6 linked regions of the Danio rerio genome follow. The protein of the gene in region 1 binds, or shares a complex with, the protein of each later gene. Links are inferred from orthologs where the notes say so. Each region holds a gene or a part of one and is shown on either strand. Other genes may lie near its edges. The genes, in order: gtf2e2, polr2f, gtf2f1, ercc2, gtf2a1 and gtf2e1.

Region 1 (4,161 bases):
AGGAAACACTTTAAAAGTGTTTAAAATAACTGTAATAAATGTTTTCTGTGTTATAATAAACACCTAAAAAAAAAAAAAAATTTGCTTTTTGTATTTTTTTTATAAACTCAAATTTGAAAGTGTACCTTTTAGGTTCTGTGTGGTCTAGGTTGCAGTAAATTAATTTTGGTGGTTCCTGCACATGTCTGTAATCATGGAAAAAAAGAAAAATGTCTCTCTTTACCATAATCTATGAAAAAGTTATTGTATTCCAACTGATGAGAGGTGCTATACAAGCCACAGGGATCGATCATTGTATTCATATTTCTCTATTCTTCTGTTTGATCAAACATAATTCACTGTGTTTGGACCACGTCGGACATATAAAAGGATTACTTATGCACATCACCTCAAAAACAGAGGAGAAAGGCCCTAAAAAGCATAAGGTAAGAGATGACCGCTGTCTGTGCTATCTGGAGCTGCTTATTGATCATGAATGTATTGTTTTCACTTCTGGGCCATGGAAATACCGCGATTTATTCGAAAACTGTTTGATGTGAATATAATTCACTAAAAAGAACGCTATAACCTCATGAGCACGGACAAGAGATTTAATTTGAGCTATAACTTGTACCTGTGTCATATATGAATCTTGTGAAAAATATGAAATTGAACCAATGTTTAAGGCAAGGCAAGTTTATTTATATAGCACATTTCATACACAATGGCAATTCAAAGTGCTTTACATAAACAAGAATAAAAGAAACAAGTAAAATAAAAATAAAAATAAAAACAAATAATAAAACTGATTAAAAAACATAAAAACAGGTAAAATGTGATATAAAAGAATGAAGAAGAAGAGAAAAACATGATCTGTGTCCGACAGTGCAATCTGTCGGACGCAGCACAGTGCTCATTCAGTAAAGGCACAGCTAAACAGATGTGTTTTCAGTCTTGATTTGAATGTGCCTAATGTTGGAGCACATCTGATCATTTCTGGAAGCTGATTCCAGCAGCGAGGGGCATAGTGGCTAAAAGCCGATTCACCCTGCTTTGACTGAACTCTTGGAACTTCTAGTTTATATGATCCTAATGATCTGAGTGATCTGTTAGGTTTGTATTCAGTGAGCATATCTGTGATGTATTTAGGTCCTAGGCCATTTAGTGATTTATAGACCAGTAATAATACTTTAAACTCTATTCTGAATGTAACTGGCAGCCAGTGTAGAGACCTGAGGACAGGTGTGATGTGCTCTGATTTCCTGGTTCTGGTTAGAATTCTGGCTGCAGCGTTCTGGATGAGCTGCAACTGTCTGACTGTCTTTTTAGGAAGACCAGTGAGGAGTCCATTACAGTAATCCACCCTGCTGCTGATAAAAGCATGAACAAGTTTCTCTAAGTCTTCACTAGAAACAAAGCATCTGATTCTTGCTATGTTTTTGAGATGATATTAAGTGTAAATAACTTTTTTACAGTAGAATAAAAACCAAAGTGATGCATATGTGCATAAAATATAGCTTCTACACTTTCAAACAAAACCACTTTCCATGGAATTTAACTGGTTAAACTGTCACTAAATGCACTACAGAATGTTATGTTTTCTCACACACACACACACACACATTTACAAATTACATGTACCGGTAAATACATCAGCTTTTAACAGCGTAATACTCACTACTCTTGAGGACATTTAAAAGGACTACTTTTTACTCATATTTAATATTTACAACAGATATTTTTACTCTACTTGCACTACATTTCTTTGGTCAAGTAATGATACTTTTACTTGAGTATATTTTTTCAGTAGTCTTTCCACCACTGATGAAACCTAAGAAAACAAAACCACGAATGAGTGCTCAATTAAACAATAACTTTTAAATGAACATATTATATAGCCACAGCATATATATTAAGGTAAACTTGGTTTTATATTTACACATTCATTCAGTGGCAATTTGTGACACACTCCCTACATTGTTTACCACGGCACCTTGAATATTCAGTCTGAAATAAACTGCAAGTGTAATTTGAAAACTTGAACACTGTTTATTTGACTGTGAACATGTACTTTGATAATCATTGGCTGCTAATATGATTTCGCTATTTAGAGTTTGCAAATAGTACTTTTATGAAATTATATTAAGGAGGAAGTCCGAATGTGCGAATAAAAAACCGACTTTACCTCTATAGCACGTGATATGTTCCTTATATTTCTTAATCATTACTATTATTAACTTCTATAGATTACAGTAAATGATTATGTGATCAGTTTTCCCCCCATGTATGTTTAGATAACAGGGGCTGCTATTAATTCAGTCTCCACTAATAAATGTAACACTTTTCAAAGATTTTAAGGACATTTGGTGTTTCATTTATAGACACACATATAGACAGATGTTAATTTTATTCCTCATATTTAACTTAGATATTAAAGCACATTGCTCATGTTGAGATCTATGAGGTCAGTTGGAGGTTTAGCCTCGTCTAACATACTGAGATTTATAAGCCTACTTATTGACAGCTAATACTTCCATAGTGAACTGCACAGTGAACATCTAACACCTAGAAACTTAACTAATCGTCTAAAATCACAAATGGTATCAACTGGAAACATCCTAAACACATCAAACATGAAGCAATACATCCACAAAGAAAGAAACTGTGAGCATTACGTTACCTGAATCTGTCACTGCCTTCTCTCTCCGAGAGAAAGAGTTTTGAGGAATGTTAAATATTATTTCCAATTATCATACGCAATCAGCTTACTGACAAAGCAAAATGAAAAGCTTGTCATAGAACGCTAGCTATGCTATACAACTACATGTATTTCCTCCGGAAGACAAGTGTTCTTCTTCTTTGTTTGTAGTCGCGCAGTTTGCAAAGACGACCTTTGCCACCTGCTGGTCAGAAATCGTTTTACATGTGTTGCGATGTTCCCATTTATATTTATTAGCATTAATGGATTATTTTCAAACATTAATCTCGAAAAACATTATTTTTAAAAAAAGGTAAGTCTATTTTAAGCTTATACCCATACGCAACCCATCCTAATACAATTATGTGTGCTCTTCTCATCTTTTCCAGTAGGAGGCGCATGTTCTGATTTCTTTGCATAACACGGTCTCGTGCTCGTGAAGACAGAATGGCAGCTACAGATGCACAGAAAGTGATTGTTTACGGGGGAAAAGGAGCTCTGGGCTCGGCATGTGTGCAGTATTTCAAAGCTAAACACTGGGTAAGTTGTATAAACCCAGAAGACAAGACACATTATTGAAAATAACTATTTCCCCCCCTTTCAGTGTCATCAGACACGCTTCACGTGTTTTAGTAGTACTATTAATAATTAATTTACTCAAAACAATGTTATGTGTTTCTCATTAACTATATCGATTCATGCATTTCTTCTGGCCTGTAATATGTCAATAAGGAACATGTTTGTGTTTGTGGTTTTCAGTGGGTTGCCTCTATTGATCTCAGTGCCAATGAAGAAGCCAATGCCAATGTTACAGTTAAAATGACTGAGTCCTTCACTGAGCAAGCCAACCAGGTAAGAAGGAAATTATTTCCGATGACAGTCAAGCTTGTCAGGGTCAAAAATTATTACAAGGCTCAGGAAGATTCATTTTCCTAGATGTTCTTGCAGCAAGGGACTAATACAGAAGAAATACAGGTTCCATCCTGGTTGCTCAGAGAGCAGTCTTACAGGGCCAGTTTTTATACAGGCATACAAACAGATGATGAATCATTGTCTTTCATTCTTGTAAAAAAAAAAAAAAAACAATCTGTTTGGTAGAATTCAATTGATCATATACTCAACTTTTTGTCAGCACATTATTCCTGCAACTAGCACATTCCAACAATTTAACTCTTTAAAAACTAAAATTGAATATGTAATTATATCAAGAAGCGCATAAATGTATAACATTAACTTTTGGTTTCTTTAAAAGTATAATGTATTAATATAATATATGAAAATCAATCAAATAAATTTATCTAACAAGCTTATTTTAAGCAATTCCAGTGTCATGGGTTCAATTCCCAGGTAGTTTAACTGACATAAAAAAGTTTGTTCATTGCATCAATTTTGGTTGTTTAGCATAAAAGCATGGATATATATCCACGGGTTCATTTTATATTAGTTAAAGTCAGAATTATTAGCCATTATAAATATAATATATA
Region 2 (3,775 bases), on another chromosome or scaffold:
ACTTATGGCGCGAAGTTTTCTTCACATATTAAATCATAACAATAAATGAACTATAACACACTTGTAGTACAATGATCATACAAGTTAATAAATTCTTTAAAAATATATAAAATGTGCATCTGCTATAATAAAATGGAGGATGAAATACGGTATTTGGAAACGATTTTTAAAAACAATATGCCACAGATACAGTACAAGCTAATTTTTATTTCAGCATCAAGTATAATTTAAAACCAGCTCACTGACTAAAAAAACAAAAACAAATACTGCATACTATTCTGTATGTGTAATGTAAAATATATATTTTTAAAATCCTAAACTTCACCATTGATTAAGCACTACACATAAATAAAAAACATTTATTCTTTGAAATCTAATTATTTTAATAAAACTGACATTAAACTGACCAGGTTTGCAACCAATTGTTAGTACAAAGTAAAATGCTTGGCATTCAACATGGATCCAGTAATAATGTCACAGAAACACAAGAGCACAGAGTATTCTTTTCTACAAAAATGTTTAATTCTGCACAACAATAAAAACAAAAATGAACATTAAATTATGACATTGTGAGTGAAATCTTCCTCTTTTCTCTGGTGTTTCAGTGTGTTCCTACTGCCCTCCTGTGGACAAACACAACAACTGCTGAACATAAAGACACCTGCACACTGTAACCCAGTGCTGAAATCACACAGATCAGATGTAGATCATGACGTGTGTGCATGTCTGTGTGTGTGTCTCAGTCAGTAATGATGAGTTCATCACAGCCCCAGTCCTCATAACTCCCGTCAGGCAGATACCGGCGGATGATAATGGGGATTTTCCTGCTCCTGAAAAACACAAATATGATTAAAACACACAAATAAATGTTTTCAGAAATGCATGTTTTTGTGTTCATCTAATGAATAAGGTGTGTATAATGCAGTTATCTCAAACAGGACATCTCATTATTATTTTACATATATTAAAATATAGTACATTTATTTATTATTTATTTATTTCCACGTCAGCAACTTTTGGCCATTTCATGGCAAAATGGATACACATAAAAACATTACATGATAAAAACAAATTCCTATTACAATAAAAAGTTACTGAGACAAATATATAAAATATAAATAAATAAAATTCACACAAAAATATACTCAAAGTTAAATAGGATTTTTCAGTTAAATTTTTAATAAATAATTTAATATTCTTTCAGGTGGTACCTTTTTAAAAATGTCCATCAAAGTACTCCCCTTATCAAAATATTGTATAACGGTATTTAGCATTTAATCTGATGTTTTATTATAAGAGCAGCCTGGCAGTAATTACATTTAGGTGGTGCTTCAATATTCAGTAAATGTGAATGAGTCAACCTACAATGTCCAATTCAACATCTAGTATAGACAATTTAATCATGTCTGGTGTCAAAATTATAATTTGTAAAGTGTCTTTTATTTATTTACGGGTTTAATTTCATGTAATTTATTTATGATACATTTATGAATAATGAAATGGGGTTATATGTCTTTATGTTTTATAAATATAAATGTATATTGTCATTTTATGTTGTAGGACAGTGTCAAATATGAATGCCTGCCAAAAACATCTGTGCAAACAATAAGATAATGAAAAAAAGTAAATAAGATTATGCAAATGAAAACATTTTTATATAAATAATATTACATTACATTATAGTTTGCACTCTTTACAATATCTGGATCTACATGAATGAATGACTTAGTTATAGTTTAAAACGCCAACATACAGTTGAAGTCAGAATTATTAGGCCATATTTGAATAATTATTATTATTATATATATATTTTTTAAATATTTCCCAAATTATGTTGAACAGATTCAGGAAATGTTCACAGTGTGTCTGATAATATTTGTTCTTCTGGAGAAAGTCTTATTTGTTTTATTTTGGCTAGAATAAAAGCAGTTTTTTAATTTTTTAAACACCATTTTTTTTCAATATTATTAGCCCCTTAAGCTATATTTTTTCGATAGTCTCCAGAACAAACCATCATTATACAATAACCTGCCTTCAAAACAAATGATAGTCAGTTTAAAATAGTAATACATATATTACTAATATACTACAATAAATCATATTAACCAATGGAGAATCTGTCATAATTACAGGTTGTAATAGTCATAAAGGTTGAGTCTTTCTGATGTGTTTCATCTTACTTGAGCTCTTTCATTGCGATTTGCAGTGGATCCGTCTCTCCCTCCAGCTCCACCATCACCGGCGCACACATCCTGTCACACAGAAGGTGATGTCACGGATGAGTAACGCAGCATTATTTGCTAACACTAAACATGACCATTAAATCATCTCAAAATGTGAATCACTGTATCATCCAGCTCGAATGAAATTACAGAGCAATAAAATCATCATGAATAAGTTGAACATGAACAGATTAAATATAAAGCAGACTGAAAACTATTTGTGTAAAGCACTAGATCATTAAAATTAGGTCCAACAGGGTTTCCTCTAAAGCCAAATATTAAAATCTGACTTTTACAGACTGTAAAGCTGAATTACCATGATGTACAGAAAAACAATTGTCCTGTAGACAGAAAGATGCTGTGTTGAGCATATAAGAGTAAAAGACTGACTGCATTTGACAGAATTAATTGCTGGTTGTCAAGTGGGAAAAAAATTAAAATAGCATTGCAATCAGGCCTGTCACAATAATCAATAAATCCACTGATTGCACAACACATGGACATGAGCTCAATCAGTTTTAGTGATGCAAAATACTCCCTGACCACTTTGTTAGGTACACCTGTCCAACTGCTCGTTCACACAAATTTCTAATCAGCCAATCACATGGCAGCAATTCAATGGATTCAGGCATGTAGAGTAAAAATGGTCAAGACGATCTGCTCCAGGTCAAAGCGAGTAAAACTGGACAATAGAAGATTGGAGAAACGTTGCCTGCTCTGATGAGTCTCCATTCCTGTTGACACATTCGGATGCTCGGGGCAGAATTTGGCCTCAACAACATGAAAGCATGGATCATCCTGCCTTGTATCAGCGGTTCAGGCTGGTGGTGGTGGTGTAATGGTGTGGGGGAGATTTTCTTTGGGTCCATTAGTACCAATTGAGCATCAACGCCACAGCCTACCTGAGAATTGCTGCTGACCATGTCCATCCCTTTATGAGCACAGTGTCTCCATCTTCTGATGGCTACTTTCAGCAGGATAACGCAGCATGTCATAAAGCTCAATCATCTCAGACTGGTTTCTTGAACATGACGATGAGTTCACTGTACTCAAATGGCCTCCACAGTCACCAGAGCTCAATCCAATAGAGCAGCTTTGGGATGTGGTGGAACGGGAGATTGGCATCATGGATGTGCAGCCGACAAATCTGCAGCAACTGTGTGATGCTATCATGACAATATGGAGCAAAATCTCTGAGGAATTTTGAAGATTTGCCTGACGTGTCCTCGGGAGTCTGTTTTTCGTATTAAACTTGTAAAATCTGAACTTACAAGGAGAGGATGCAGGACTGAACTGTGTTTAGGCTACTTAATACTGAGGAAAAGCCCCAATCAGAAAGGCGAATGTCTGCAGCCCTGTCTTTGCTTTCAGATGTCTCCATTTTCCCTCATCCAAACTGAGACAGAGCAGCAGTGTATTAAAATGAAAATGGCATCGTCAGCGTTTCCAAAACGCTCCATTTTTAGGGCTCTAAAACTCCAGTGTAGTGTGGACGGATGGCGTAACCATAGCAAAATGTATGTATTTTCAAACTAAAACGTACTAGTGTAAAC
Region 3 (2,233 bases), on another chromosome or scaffold:
GAGAACTAAATAAAATTTCTGTTATCATAGAATATGAAGTAATTTTACCTCTAAAACACTACTACTTTAAATCAACAGGGATGATGCACGATTTAAATTCACCCATGAAATCTTAAAAGATGAAGAGTCCTTTTTCTCTGGACAGAAGGTTCCACGTCATCGCCGCATCTCTGTGATATGCCGAAACCTGCCCATGTAAAACAACTGAGGCTGGACTGATCATAGCACCTGTCTTGAAAACCAAATAGACCTCTGTTGATTCAATTTTCAGTCTGATGTATTTTTCCTTGAATAACCACAAAAAAGAGACTATTTGGGGGGAACTAAAGCCTCTGGAGAATTTATGAAGGGAATAGATCAGATTCATGTAATTTATCATATAAATGGAGTATGAAAAAAGATGAGACCAGTCAACTGCTTCTATGTACAATGTCAATTTTTGTATCCATTATTAACTTTCCTCTCAAATAATAAATCATTATTGCATAGAGAGCATCAAATTTCAAATAAAAACAAATAGGTATTTATTTCAGAACAGATTTAACATACTACGAAGGGCAAGCGCCAGCAAAATGTGGTACCTTTTACAGTTTTTTTTTTTAAAATCAGCACAATGTTAAGCCAGTTAAAAAAAAAATCTATGAGAACAAATGAGTGTGTAATAAAAGCCACATCTTCACATTTTCTGAGTCCTTATTTAATTTCTTTCTTGGAAAAACATTAACCAGCTTCTCATTAAGATGCATAAATGTGAAATTTACAAACACACATTTCCCATATCTACAATATACAAAAACTCACTGTGCTATCTTTCTTTGCAACGTTTCTTTGTCATTTTACTCTTGACCTCCGGTATTCTCAGCTTTAACTCAATGAGCAGCAGTTTAATGACTACTGTAAATAAACACTGGACTGTTAAAAGCAAAATGACAGCAAAACAAAGAAGGTGTTCACCAAAATGAGCTGCATTCCTGAAGGCGAGGCTGCTGGTGATGGATGCTCAGAGTTTCACTCAGTGAGGTAGAAGTGCATCTTGTCATTGATGTTCTTCCTCTCTGGATTGAGCCTCTTTAAGATCTGCGCGAGCACATTGACCGTCTGCTCGCTGCTGAGGCCTGTGCGTTTAGTCTGGAACTTCTTCAGCAGGTCTTTAGTGGTCATGGGCTTTCTGATGAGATACCTGCGCACCGCATCCTCTGTCAGCAGCACATCACTAAAGGGGAGAGAGAAAAGGATTTTATTTACAATATTGAAATAATCAAGAGTTAAAATGGTCAGTAACTCTGGCAGTGCTTTTGAAAATTTGAAAGGAAAAAGTTGGTGTAATGTGTTGCTACATTAAGTAGGTCTAATACACAGTGACATACTGTTAAAGACTTGATATAATTGAAGCTAAGTATTTCATTCTTTGCTTTTTCCATTCAGCAATATACTCAGCAAAACATTTCCAACATTGCTGGGAGTAGCAATTGGATGTGTAAATATAGTCATAGCAATGTAACTCTGACCCTCCAATCAGCTCACATTTATTTAGTCCCTTACAAAAGTTATTGGTTAAACGGAAGCAGCTTTACAGTGCTGACTGTGAAATAAATGTGTCAGTAACTATGTTTCCATCCACTTTTTTTTTTTATTTATACGCATATCCAACATGCACATAAAATAAAAAACGTAAAAAACGCCAAAAATAAAAAACGCCAAGATAAGAAGTTAAAGAGTTAAATAAAAATAACTTTTTATTCGATAAGAAAAAATGCGTATAAAGACTTTCACTAAACAAATTTTAGTATGCGCATTAAAAAAAGTCATTGATTTTGATTATGTGATGATAAAAGATGTGTGTGAGTCGACAAACCAGCAGGCTTAGCACACTGTAAAACATGAAATGTTATTTTGGTCAGTCTGAAACACCCTAACCAATTCAGTATTAGTGTTATTATATTACCTCCAGAACTGCTAAGAGTGTCTGTGCTGTGCGTTAACTGCGTGTCAGCATCATCTTCTGAGGCACAAGTCATTTATTTAATTAAGTAAAAGATTCACACAGCTTCTCATACCTCAGGAAATTAAGTTCCTTTTACTTTTGATATTTGACGCCAGTTAATTAGGAAGTGACAATTTTGATTTGTTTGACTTGTTGGATGGAAACTTTGCTTTATGCACAAAACTAGAATATCGCATAAAAGGTGTGCGAATAAAGTTAATTCACATTTTTGGAAGGAAACATAGCTAG
Region 4 (4,288 bases), on another chromosome or scaffold:
TTTGTTTGTTTTTATATTTGATGTTACTTATTAAGCTGCGTTTTACAGGGAAGGGAATTGGGATTTTGGCTCTGTAGTTATATCAGGAAGTTTGTCATAAAGGTTTAGAAAGTATAGTTTTATTCTGTTGAGGTGAATATTGTCAAAGAATGACCCAAAATGGATTTATACAAATATTTTAATATGTCTAAACTGTGGTCTTTACCCGGCCTATGAGTACGAAGGAAATCACTTCATGAAGATGAATCTTTGTTAGGGTGAAATACTGTATATTTTATTGCATTGTAATATATGATTTAAAAATGTTTATGTAAATAAAATATATTATATAAAATATGCCCCTGTATTAATAATGAAAAATGTTCTCATTTCTTTGGTTCTTTCTCTTTTTTCCCCTCATATGTATTAAAAAATGTCATTTTAGAAGGGGGGCTTAGTAGTAGTGGCTCAGTGGTTAGCATTGTCGCCTCACAGCAAGAAGGTCGCTGGTTCGAAGCACAGCTGGGTCAGTTGGCATTTCTGTGTGGAATTTGCATGTTCTTCTCTTGTTCGCGTGGGTTTCCTCCACAGCAAGGTTATTATAGTTTTGGATTTTTTATTGGTTTTAGTTTTTATTTTGTTTTGACTTTTTGTTTTCAAAATCAGTTTTAATTAGTTTTTAGAGGTAGATTTACTAGTTTTTATTAGTTTCCATATTTTATAGTTGCTTAGTTTTGTTTATTTATTTATTTATTTTTGCACATTGGGATATTTGCTATGTACAAGATTCAAAATCAATAAATATTGTACAAAATACAATAAATATTGTAAAATAAAAACTCAACAATAATTTTTTGAAACATGTTTTCACAGGACACATGACCACTATCATCTACCACTACCACCTACTCATCTTCAAATTCAAATACAACAGCCCACAAGATAGCCTTAAGTAAAATCGTGTGCATGGCTGCCTCTAAGGTTAGACACACAGTAGTGATGGGAAGTTCAGATCTTTAATTCATTCCGCTTTAGCAACCTCTGATGAATAAAGGGACTAAGCTGAAGGAAAATGAATGAATGTAAGTTAAGTGTACTCTACTTGCTTTTCTCTTTTCTGTTTGTTTTTATTTTTTTCTTGTTTGTTTACAATGCACTCTAATTGTACCTGCTTTTCGTTTTTCTTAGCTTTTTTCATTCTTTTTTCTTTGTTTATTTAAAATACAGTATAATTTAGTGTAATCTGTGATAGGCTATATTTTTAATTGATCAAATTTTACTTTTCATGAAAAAAATACTGTTGTTTGTTTTAAAAAATCAGTCATATTTGTAGTGAAGAAAATTACAACCTACACAATTTTAGCGAAAGTTTAGTGCGGACTTCTTTTCTATATATATATTTTTTGATTAACCCCAATGGTGACAAATGTACTTCCGTCAAGGGATTGACATGACGTGCGTGTCATCCAATGAGCTGACAGGATAAGGCGGGCTTTGAAGCGAACAACCAATCAATTAAGCAAAATAGATTACGCACTTTCACTGCGACAGCGTTTTACGCTACCGAGATCGCTTGTGTACCTCGATAGAAGTCTTTTTGTGTAATGCGTTCATGACAGTTATATTAATGTGTGGAAACATACAAAACTGAATACGAGAAACACTTAAGTGCTGCAGAGAAACAATACCAGCAAACATGAAGTAAGTAAACGGTAAATTTTAACTGTTAACGTTAGCATTGCTGCAAATCTGCAGACTGGTAATGGCCCAAACCGCTGTTCATTTAACACAAGTTTTGTTTTTCCTCTAACGTTAATGTCTATTTGATCCTATTAGGCTGAATATCGACGGGTTATTAGTCTACTTTCCGTATGACTACATCTATCCCGAACAATACTCGTATATGCTTGAGCTGAAGAGGACGCTGGATGCAAAGGTATTTATACACAGACACTCATACATTAAACTAATGTTGTATCATGTAACAACATAGACCATTTTCAGGGATGTAAACCAAAACAATGGTCTCAATGTATTTCATGTTTTCCATTTGTAATGTCCATACTTTCTGAGATTTTAAAAAGAGCCATATATTGTAAAATAATGTCATGATAGCGGTTTTAACATTAAATTATGATTTAATTGTCTCATGTTACAGTTATGAAATAGTTTGAAACAAGCAGAAAATGTTCATGGGCCAAAGATATCACCACATTGAAGTGATCTATATTAACATTGTGGCTGGATGTTTTGACATAGGCCAAAAGATGCATCTATAGTTGATACACAACTAATTTAAAGTGTATTTTTTGTTCCTTCTTACAGCGTTATTTTTACAATTGAGGTAAAGTTGGTTTTATATTAGCACATTCGTTCAGTGACATGCTCCCTTTATTGTTTACCATGGTAATTTGAATATTCAGAGTGAAATCCTATTAAAGTATGACTTCAAAACAACATTAGCTATATGTTTTTAGGCAGTGAACAATGTTGTACTTTGATAGTCATGGTAATAAGATTTCCCTATTTAGAGTTTGCTAAAATATTTTTCTAAAAATATGATATTAGGGAAAAAGACTGAATGTGTGGGTATAAAACCAACTTTACTGTTTTAATTGAGATAAAGTTGGTTTTATACTCACACATTTGTTCAGTGACATGCTCCCTTTTTGTTTACCATGGTACTTTGAATATTTGGTCTGCAATCCTAGGTAAGTATGACTTCAAAACAACATTAGCAATCTTTTTTTGTATAGTGAAATGTGGTCTTAAGGTTTGCTGGTTTAAGAGTTGGTTCAGGTAAAAAGTGTAATTATAAATGTACTTACAGAATTTAATTACAGATGTAATTACATGCAGATATTTAATCAAGCATAAGTACAATGTAAAATCATATATTTACTCATTAAGTAAAGTGTAACGAATGATTCAATTTCAGTGTAAGTTCATGTTAGTAAAGGCCACTTAATATAAAGTGGGACCGAAAAATTTTCTGAAAATATTTTTAGAGAGAAAGACTGAATGTGTGAATATAAAACCAGCTTTACTCTAATATTTTTATTGAGGTAAAGTTGGTTTTATATTCGCATAATCGTTCCGTGACATCCTCCCTTTATTTTTTACCATGGTACTTTGAATATTTGGTCTAAAATCCTATGTAAGTATGACTTCAAAACAATCTTTTTTGTACAGTGAACAGTGTTGTACTTTAAAAGTCATTGGATGCTATTATGGTTTCCCTATAAATATGAATTTGCAAAGAATATTTTTCTGAAATGTATATTATTAGGGAGAAAGACCAAATGTGTGGATTTATAGGTTATCATGATGCTACTGCCCTAATTTAATTGCCCCTGGTGGGAATAATAAAGTTCACCACATCATTTTTAGTCTGATTATGAATGCATTTTTTGTAATCTCGCATTATCTGAGATGTTGGATGGGATGTTTATGTTAAACAGAGCCATGACTGAGTGAAAGTAAAAAGCAATAAAAAACAAAAAAAAATTGTTTGTCTTATGTATAGTTGTTTCATATTTTGTTTTTATTATGTGTGTAAAGGGTCATGGAGTTCTGGAGATGCCCTCAGGAACAGGAAAAACTATTTCTCTTCTTTCGCTCATCGTTGCTTACCAGAAGGTGACGGATTTTGATCGACGATTAAATATTTGAATACTTTATTAAATGACAGTCTGATGGCTTTAAAAATATCCCTGATTTATATATATAATTATATATATATATATATATATATATATATATATATATATATATATATATATATATATATATATATATATATATATATATATAATGTTTAATCTCTTACAGACTTACCCTTTAGAAGTCACCAAGCTCGTGTACTGCTCTCGCACGGTGCCTGAGATAGAGAAGGTATTTTGTTGACTGACTTGATATAGATGTTTATTACCTTTTATACATTTTTTTTTGCTTTCTAAATACACATGTCGTATGTTAATTTTTATTTTATGCATCTTTCATTTACCTGCAGGTTGTGGAGGAGCTAAGGAAACTGATGGATTATTACTCAAAGCAAACGGGAGTAAAAAACGACTTCCTCGCCCTTGCACTTTCCTCGAGGAAAAACCTGTGCATTCATCCTGAGGTAGAGGCCGCTGAATGGGCAGATTTGTCTGTGATTTCAGTAAAATCTGTGCTGTGATCTTATTAAAAAGTACTGAATGTGTGACTACAGGTGAGCTCTCTGCGTTTTGGAAAAGAAGTAGATGGAAAATGTCACAGTCTGACAGCATCGTATATTCGAGCGCAGCATCAGAGTAACCCAAAT
Region 5 (3,500 bases), on another chromosome or scaffold:
AGACTACGCAAGATAAAACAAGTACGGAGGGACTAAAACAAACCCTAGGGTAACTCCACAATGCACAGAACCACATGCGGAAATCCTCCTCAGGGCCAAAAAGGAGCACTTCTTTCATTAAGAGCACAGTTCGGTGTCTTTTCCCCCCCGAAATATGAACGCTGCCTGAGCTTCGGGAATAAATACGAACGACTAGAAATGCGTAAAATAAGCCTGACTGGGAGGAAAGTAGGAAGGGCGGCCTGATGGAGCACTTCATAGACACCAAACGCAGAAGATTGCACACAAAACACACCAAAGCACCCTGTGATGCATCAACTCCCAAAAACATGCATCAGACTGACAGAGCAGAGTTAGAAAAACCCATGACAGACATAAACACGCAAACAGCTTTGTGAGATCGACAACTTGCGCTCAACTTGCCTGCTTTCATTGGTATCTCTTTTGCTGAACATACAAAGGTCTAAAAACATGGCATCTATTAATGGGAATTGTTGGAACGCAGCTCTTGCTGGATTGTTTTAGTGTTTGTATGAGGCGACCAATAGTGATTCGCTTTACACAGGATTCAGATTTACGGAAATCACCAAACACGTACGATTGCTGTGAAAAGGCTGTTGACAAATCTGTTTACTTAAGATGGCGTCTGACGCTAAAATCGGCTCCCTGCGCCTAACATTTTCATCTGAGGGGGCGTAGATGTTTTTGGAAAGGAGATATTATGGACTGAGTTTTTTTTTTTTTTTTACAGGTAAAAGAGTAGTCTTTTTAAAAAAGAAGGGGAAAAGAAAAAGAAATCTCATGGATGGCACAAGTTATTTGTGTGCAGAAATCACTCAAACAGCACAGTAGCATTGGGACGTTACTCTTCAGCACCCCAAGTGGGGAATCTCCTGAAATGTACAGTTTCAGGTCTCGATGTGTCTTGCCTTAAAAAGTAGGCAGTTTTTGGGTTTTTTGTTCTCTTGTCTTTCCCGCTTTTTACCACTCGGCGTCTCCGATGGCTTTGGAGAACACAAAATCCCGTCCGTTCAGATTCATGATGCCATCCTTCAGGTGAAATTTCCACTTGTTCTTACTTCTGTGAATCTGAAGCATAGATTAAGAAAAACAAAAATAAATTTCAGGGACTTTTGGACAGTGATTTCAACCCTTTCATGCGTATGATCACACCGGTGTGACTGCTAAAATTTAAATCTGATGGCGGGTGCTATAGCACTGGAAAAGGAGCGCAGCACTAATTATAAATCACAATTTACCTGTGCTTTCAAACAAATAACATTTCTTTTAGGTTTCAGACATTCAAATACACATAATTACAAGCAAAACAAACCAAGTAAAGTTTGTAAAATAGACGTGGATGTCTATGAAGACGGCAATAATAATTATATTTCAATATAACTGGACGATGTGCTTTATTCACCTAAGATACAAACTGTTTACATTACTAGAATATTTTCTTGGCAGAAAATTATTAATAAACATGACAAATCCAGCAGCGATCGGAAGTTAACGAGAAGTGTTAATATTATTTATCAAATCACACAATGTATTAATTGTATTTTATTAGCGTCTACCCCTCTCAACCCTAGACCCAAACCTCAAAGTTTGTAAAGTTAATGTAAAATAGTATTTGTTGTACAGTGTCAAAATTAAGCTATATTGAAACAAGTTTACACAGCTGAATCCCATCTAGACTTCACCCTCTCCTGCAGCATGGTGAAGTCTAGATGGGATACAGCAGAGGATACTCAATATAGCATAATCTAATAAAATACAATTGTATTAGATTACGCTATATTGATGAGTATACTCAGCTGTATCCCATCTAGCTAATAAACTGCACTCAATGCGGAATTTAATAAATATAAATACTTCTCGTTAACGTCCGATCGCAGCAGTATCCTTTCTAGCAACAACAGCAGCACCATTCTATCTCATATTTGACAATCGGAGGATCAGAAATTTGTCAATATTTACAGAAAAGGGCAAAAAGACTTTTCACTGTGCAATGACTAATCTTGCTAATAAAATCATGCAATCCAAAAGTTTGTCAATTGAACATTTTCAATAATGTAATATGCCATAGTGTTGACAGCGATAATTCACTCAAAAAAAAAAAAAAAAAAACTTAACTCACTTTAAAGTGGCTCTACACCTTTCGAGTTTCTTGTGTTGAACACAAAAGATGACATTGAAGAAAGCTGAAAACCTATAACCATTGACCATAAAAAAAAAAAAAACATAGAAATCAAGGGTTACAGGTTTCCAGCTTTTTTTAAACGATCCTCTGTTTTTAACAGAAAAATGAAAGTCAAAGAGATTTAAAACATGTTAAACAGGTCCTGAAAATGGAAAATCTTCCCCTGCTCTGCACGTTTCCTAATGCTGGTTTTCTGTGTGCGCAATCTGTCACTTACACAGAAACTCACATGCTCAGCAGACCCACTGAGACGCGCCTTTTCCGTCAAAATGCATCCGACCATAGTTTAAGTCTCGTAAAATGTCCAGGATTCAGGTTTTACTTTCGCATTTTAAAGTTGTCATTATTTGTATGCGTTTTTGCATTACCATTTCGCAGCTGAATGAATGTGCGCGCACAGCCGCGAGAGAAACATTAAATGATTATTCACATAATAAATGTCTCAGATAAACTTTATACTCGGAGAGAACAAAATGCCATCTATAATGGCTGCAAAATATTTGTACACCACTAGAAATGGTTAATCAAGTAATTTGCCTTATTTAAATAATCTACACTTTTTATTCTAGTAGTTATTATAATTTTTTGCAATAATGTCTATTTTATTTATTTAAATTAATTTCTCATTTGCTGCATGTTTTATTAATTTAATAACTTTAACCCACTGAAAAGAAAAGGTGTATGACAGTGTCATTCTAAATAAAAATCAAGGTAAAAAGCACATTATTTTTTGTTTGTCACATGATGTTGACCATTTATGTGCTGTGGGGAAAAGGGTTTTTTCCAATCAGGCTACCACTGCAAGTATATTTTAAACCTGTGGGAAGCCCTGCACAGAGCTGATCTTACGAGGAAATGTAACTATTTCACATTTTGTAAGTTTAGTTCTGTATAAGTTCAGTCGTATGAAAATGTACTATTTGTAAAAGGAGGCCCCCCCCAGGGGTCCGGCACACTTGAAAACTGATCTAAAATGAGTTTGACACCCCTGCTTTAAGGACTTAGGGTTATAATTTCTATATAAACATATATGCCAAATATTTGATAGATTTTCTAATAGTTTTTGCACTTAAATTAATTAATGTAAGAATATAAATGTGTGCAAGCTATCAAAACAGATTAAAGATATGTGATAAGCAAACACTCACTTTGTCATACTGGCAAACCACTACGTTCTCTGTGTCGAAGAGCTCCTGATCTTCCTCATCACTGACATCATCACCACTGTTTAACGGCTCCTGAAATAAAGACAGATTATTTAAAGACAAATTATGACTGGACTAAACCAGATGAGTTC
Region 6 (2,331 bases), on another chromosome or scaffold:
CGCTTTTCTCTTTGGCTGCACGTCAACGCACCACAGATTTGATCTCCCGCACAGTCTCATCCAAGCATCATCTCATCCGCAGCTGCACCAAAGCACATCCCCAGAGACTCTGTTCCCAATTCAATTACATGATCACACCATGAGAGGTCAATTCAAACATTTTTTTGGACACGGTCACTGCGAAAGCAACCTGTTTTTCCATCCTAGACAAAATAAACCATTCTGTGAATACATTTGTGTGAAATAACAGTTTATGAAACTAATATTCATCTTTCACAAACATATATTTATGAACACTGTCAGTTTTCACACTCAGCTTTTTATTACAGTAAATGGTCTAACAAACTGAAAAAACATCCTTTTTTCTACTTAAGGACAAACAAATTGAAGTGAATAATGTCCACTGAGGCAGAGATCAGAGAAAAAAGTGCTCATTTCTGCTGTGAAAGGAAAGCAATCACACTTTAAACAAACATCTCTCATTAAATCTCATTCAATATCGCGTTAAGGAAGCCAGCCGCATGAAGATCGTTTGTCTTTCCTTTCAAACTGCGAGTCTTGCTAAATACTGCTGAGGAAAAAGAGCCATTAAAAATAACATGAAAGCAAGAAGATGAGAAAACGCCTTGGTAGGTAGCTTTGAGCAAATACCACAGTTTGTCACTTTCTGTCATTCAAAAGTCATTCGTGTCAGAAAATCCTTGGTTTAAAGGAGGTTAAACCGTCTCAGAGGTTACTGCGGCAACACTGTTATATAAATGGAAGTCTCCGAATCTGACAAAACGGCAAACAAACTGGAAAGCTAGCAATGTGAGTGTTTGCCAATGTATGATACTCTTGTTTACAACCGTGATACTGCGGTATCATTGGCACCGGAGTAGTTTTGTATGGGAATATGGCAGGGGAGTGAGAAAGAACAAGAGTTAACTGGTAAAACACTACATTTCTCAACTCTGGCACACCGCACAACACCATTAGATATGAAGTGTGCAAAGGAAACAGATTGTATCCTTGTATCCTGTGGGGAAAAAAGTGAGATACAGACAGAACGAGAAGCTAGCCAGCATGATGAACTTAGAAGTACATGTCCTGGAAGAGGTTTTGGCCCATCTCAATATACGCCTCTTTCTCCTGAGCGCTCATCTGTTCCACCAGCTCTGGCCTCTGGCTTACTTCCCTGTAAGAGAAGGGTCTTCCTCCTACCATAACCACAGGGTCATCTCCGACCTCTTCAAACTCATCGTCATCATCCTCGTCCTCCTCGTCTTGTTTTCCTGGCCGCATGGATGTAGTGCTGTGCAACGTGTGGGCTGGAGCCTGTGGTGGAGAGTCTTCGTCCGACTCGCTCGTATCGCTGTCAGAGTCACTGGCGTTTGCGGCTGGAACAGTTGGTCTGGAGACGGCGGAACCTCCTGGACCAGCTCCACTCCTCTTCTCGTGAATGAGGAGAGCCAGCATCACCTCCTCATTCTCATCCTGCGCGGCTCCCCTTCCAGTAATTCCCTCCTGGGTTACTACAGAGTCCTCGCCAGCTGGTGTGAGAAAAAAATTGGAAGAAAAATGACGACAATTTCAGATGCTTCTTTGTTTGTAGAATTCCAATTTTTGCTACACTTTCTAAATCCAATTCCTTTCTGAAGCTCTGCTATAGCTTTGGGTAAGAAACAGGCTGTAATTTCAGAGCTTTTCAAAAGACAATCTTCCCTTCGCTCCAAGTCCAATTCTCAAATCTTTCCAAAGTCTCAAAACTTTCAGACCAGCTACTGATGATGAACACAAGAATCAATAATGTTACATTTGTTTGCTCATTTGTAGATTCACACGGGATCAATATTAAGAAATTATCATTTATCACCCCTTATTTTTTTAAGTATAACACAGTTTATTATATTTCTAATCTATGTGGTACTCTTATTTTGGAAAACTGGGCATGTTTTAAGGCAGTGATTGGCAAAGTTGGGGTCGCTTGGTGGTTTCCAAAAGTCTAACAAATTTGATTAAACTTTTAAAATTACCATTGTTAATCCATAACTTACAGAAGATAATAAAGTTACATTAAAAATACAAATACAAAATACAAAAATAAAAAGAATTTCCATTTTTTTTCATTGGATTGCAACCCTGAGGGTTTTTACATTAGATTAATGACATATGCTGTTACTTTTGCTTGTTACATTCCGCCCACCGGTCTCATTAGGTAAGGTTAATATTAAATAATAATAAAATTATATGTTTGTTAGACTGTTGCACATGTTTGTGGTGTCATTATGATTGTGTTTATGTAGGCTTTTTAGTGTGTGTGAGCCGTTGCGTGCATTGTTTGTATGATTA

Evidence for each region.
Region 2: gtf2e2 (region 1) and polr2f share a complex: the UniProt entries of both Homo sapiens proteins name them as parts of the TBP-based Pol II pre-initiation complex. The link is inferred for Danio rerio from reciprocal best matches to the Homo sapiens genes GTF2E2 and POLR2F.
Region 3: gtf2e2 (region 1) and gtf2f1 share a complex: the UniProt entries of both Homo sapiens proteins name them as parts of the TBP-based Pol II pre-initiation complex. The link is inferred for Danio rerio from reciprocal best matches to the Homo sapiens genes GTF2E2 and GTF2F1.
Region 4: gtf2e2 (region 1) and ercc2 share a complex: the UniProt entries of both Homo sapiens proteins name them as parts of the TBP-based Pol II pre-initiation complex. The link is inferred for Danio rerio from reciprocal best matches to the Homo sapiens genes GTF2E2 and ERCC2.
Region 5: gtf2e2 (region 1) and gtf2a1 share a complex: the UniProt entries of both Homo sapiens proteins name them as parts of the TBP-based Pol II pre-initiation complex. The link is inferred for Danio rerio from reciprocal best matches to the Homo sapiens genes GTF2E2 and GTF2A1.
Region 6: the proteins of gtf2e2 (region 1) and gtf2e1 are in contact, whole or in part, in a crystal structure (PDB 5GPY), measured with the Homo sapiens proteins. The link is inferred for Danio rerio from reciprocal best matches to the Homo sapiens genes GTF2E2 and GTF2E1. Residues at the interface, in NP_002086.1 of Homo sapiens: Asp159, Gln160, Arg161, Gly162, Leu163, Gly164, Gly165, Leu167, Leu190, Val192, Asn193, Arg194, Pro195, Ile200, Phe202, Cys208, Gln209, Phe210, Ser211, Val212, Asp213, Glu215, Phe216, Gln217, Leu219, Trp220, Arg221, Val223, Thr224, Val225; in NP_005504.2 of Homo sapiens: Arg16, Lys19, Tyr20, Val21, Arg23, Gly24, Phe25, Tyr26, Ile28, Glu29, Leu32, Arg39, Leu51, Leu52, Lys53, Phe54, Asp55, Gln58, Gly68, Asp69, Lys70, Phe71, Lys73, Thr98, Asn101, Val102, Val103, Lys104, Tyr105, Lys106.

The regions. Positions count from the first base shown.
Region 1 is NC_133176.1:24,433,625-24,437,785, reverse strand, and holds the start of gtf2e2 (transcription initiation factor IIE subunit beta), read right to left. Parts: upstream 2,801-4,161; 5' UTR 2,660-2,800; intron 1-2,659. UniProt on the Homo sapiens protein: Recruits TFIIH to the initiation complex and stimulates the RNA polymerase II C-terminal domain kinase and DNA-dependent ATPase activities of TFIIH. Both TFIIH and TFIIE are required for promoter clearance by RNA polymerase.
Region 2 is NC_133178.1:1,274,214-1,277,988, forward strand, and holds the end of polr2f (DNA-directed RNA polymerases I, II, and III subunit RPABC2), read right to left. Parts: intron 2,253-3,775; coding exon 2,181-2,252; intron 831-2,180; coding exon 740-830; 3' UTR 501-739; downstream 1-500. UniProt on the Homo sapiens protein: DNA-dependent RNA polymerase catalyzes the transcription of DNA into RNA using the four ribonucleoside triphosphates as substrates.
Region 3 is NC_133178.1:32,749,405-32,751,637, forward strand, and holds the end of gtf2f1 (general transcription factor IIF subunit 1), read right to left. Parts: intron 1,214-2,233; coding exon 1,009-1,213; 3' UTR 501-1,008; downstream 1-500. Other genes in the region: alkbh7 (alpha-ketoglutarate-dependent dioxygenase alkB homolog 7, mitochondrial), read left to right, coding at 79-199. UniProt on the Homo sapiens protein: TFIIF is a general transcription initiation factor that binds to RNA polymerase II and helps to recruit it to the initiation complex in collaboration with TFIIB. It promotes transcription elongation.
Region 4 is NC_133190.1:26,156,361-26,160,648, reverse strand, and holds the start of ercc2 (general transcription and DNA repair factor IIH helicase subunit XPD), read left to right. Parts: upstream 1-1,488; 5' UTR 1,489-1,675; coding exon 1,676-1,680; intron 1,681-1,815; coding exon 1,816-1,915; intron 1,916-3,540; coding exon 3,541-3,618; intron 3,619-3,810; coding exon 3,811-3,873; intron 3,874-3,991; coding exon 3,992-4,105; intron 4,106-4,195; coding exon 4,196-4,288. UniProt on the Homo sapiens protein: ATP-dependent 5'-3' DNA helicase. Component of the general transcription and DNA repair factor IIH (TFIIH) core complex, not absolutely essential for minimal transcription in vitro.
Region 5 is NC_133195.1:17,659,255-17,662,754, forward strand, and holds part of gtf2a1 (transcription initiation factor IIA subunit 1), read right to left. Parts: intron 3,442-3,500; coding exon 3,352-3,441; intron 1,090-3,351; coding exon 982-1,089; 3' UTR 1-981. UniProt on the Homo sapiens protein: TFIIA is a component of the transcription machinery of RNA polymerase II and plays an important role in transcriptional activation. TFIIA in a complex with TBP mediates transcriptional activity.
Region 6 is NC_133184.1:29,364,376-29,366,706, forward strand, and holds the end of gtf2e1 (general transcription factor IIE subunit 1), read right to left. Parts: intron 1,533-2,331; coding exon 1,075-1,532; 3' UTR 501-1,074; downstream 1-500.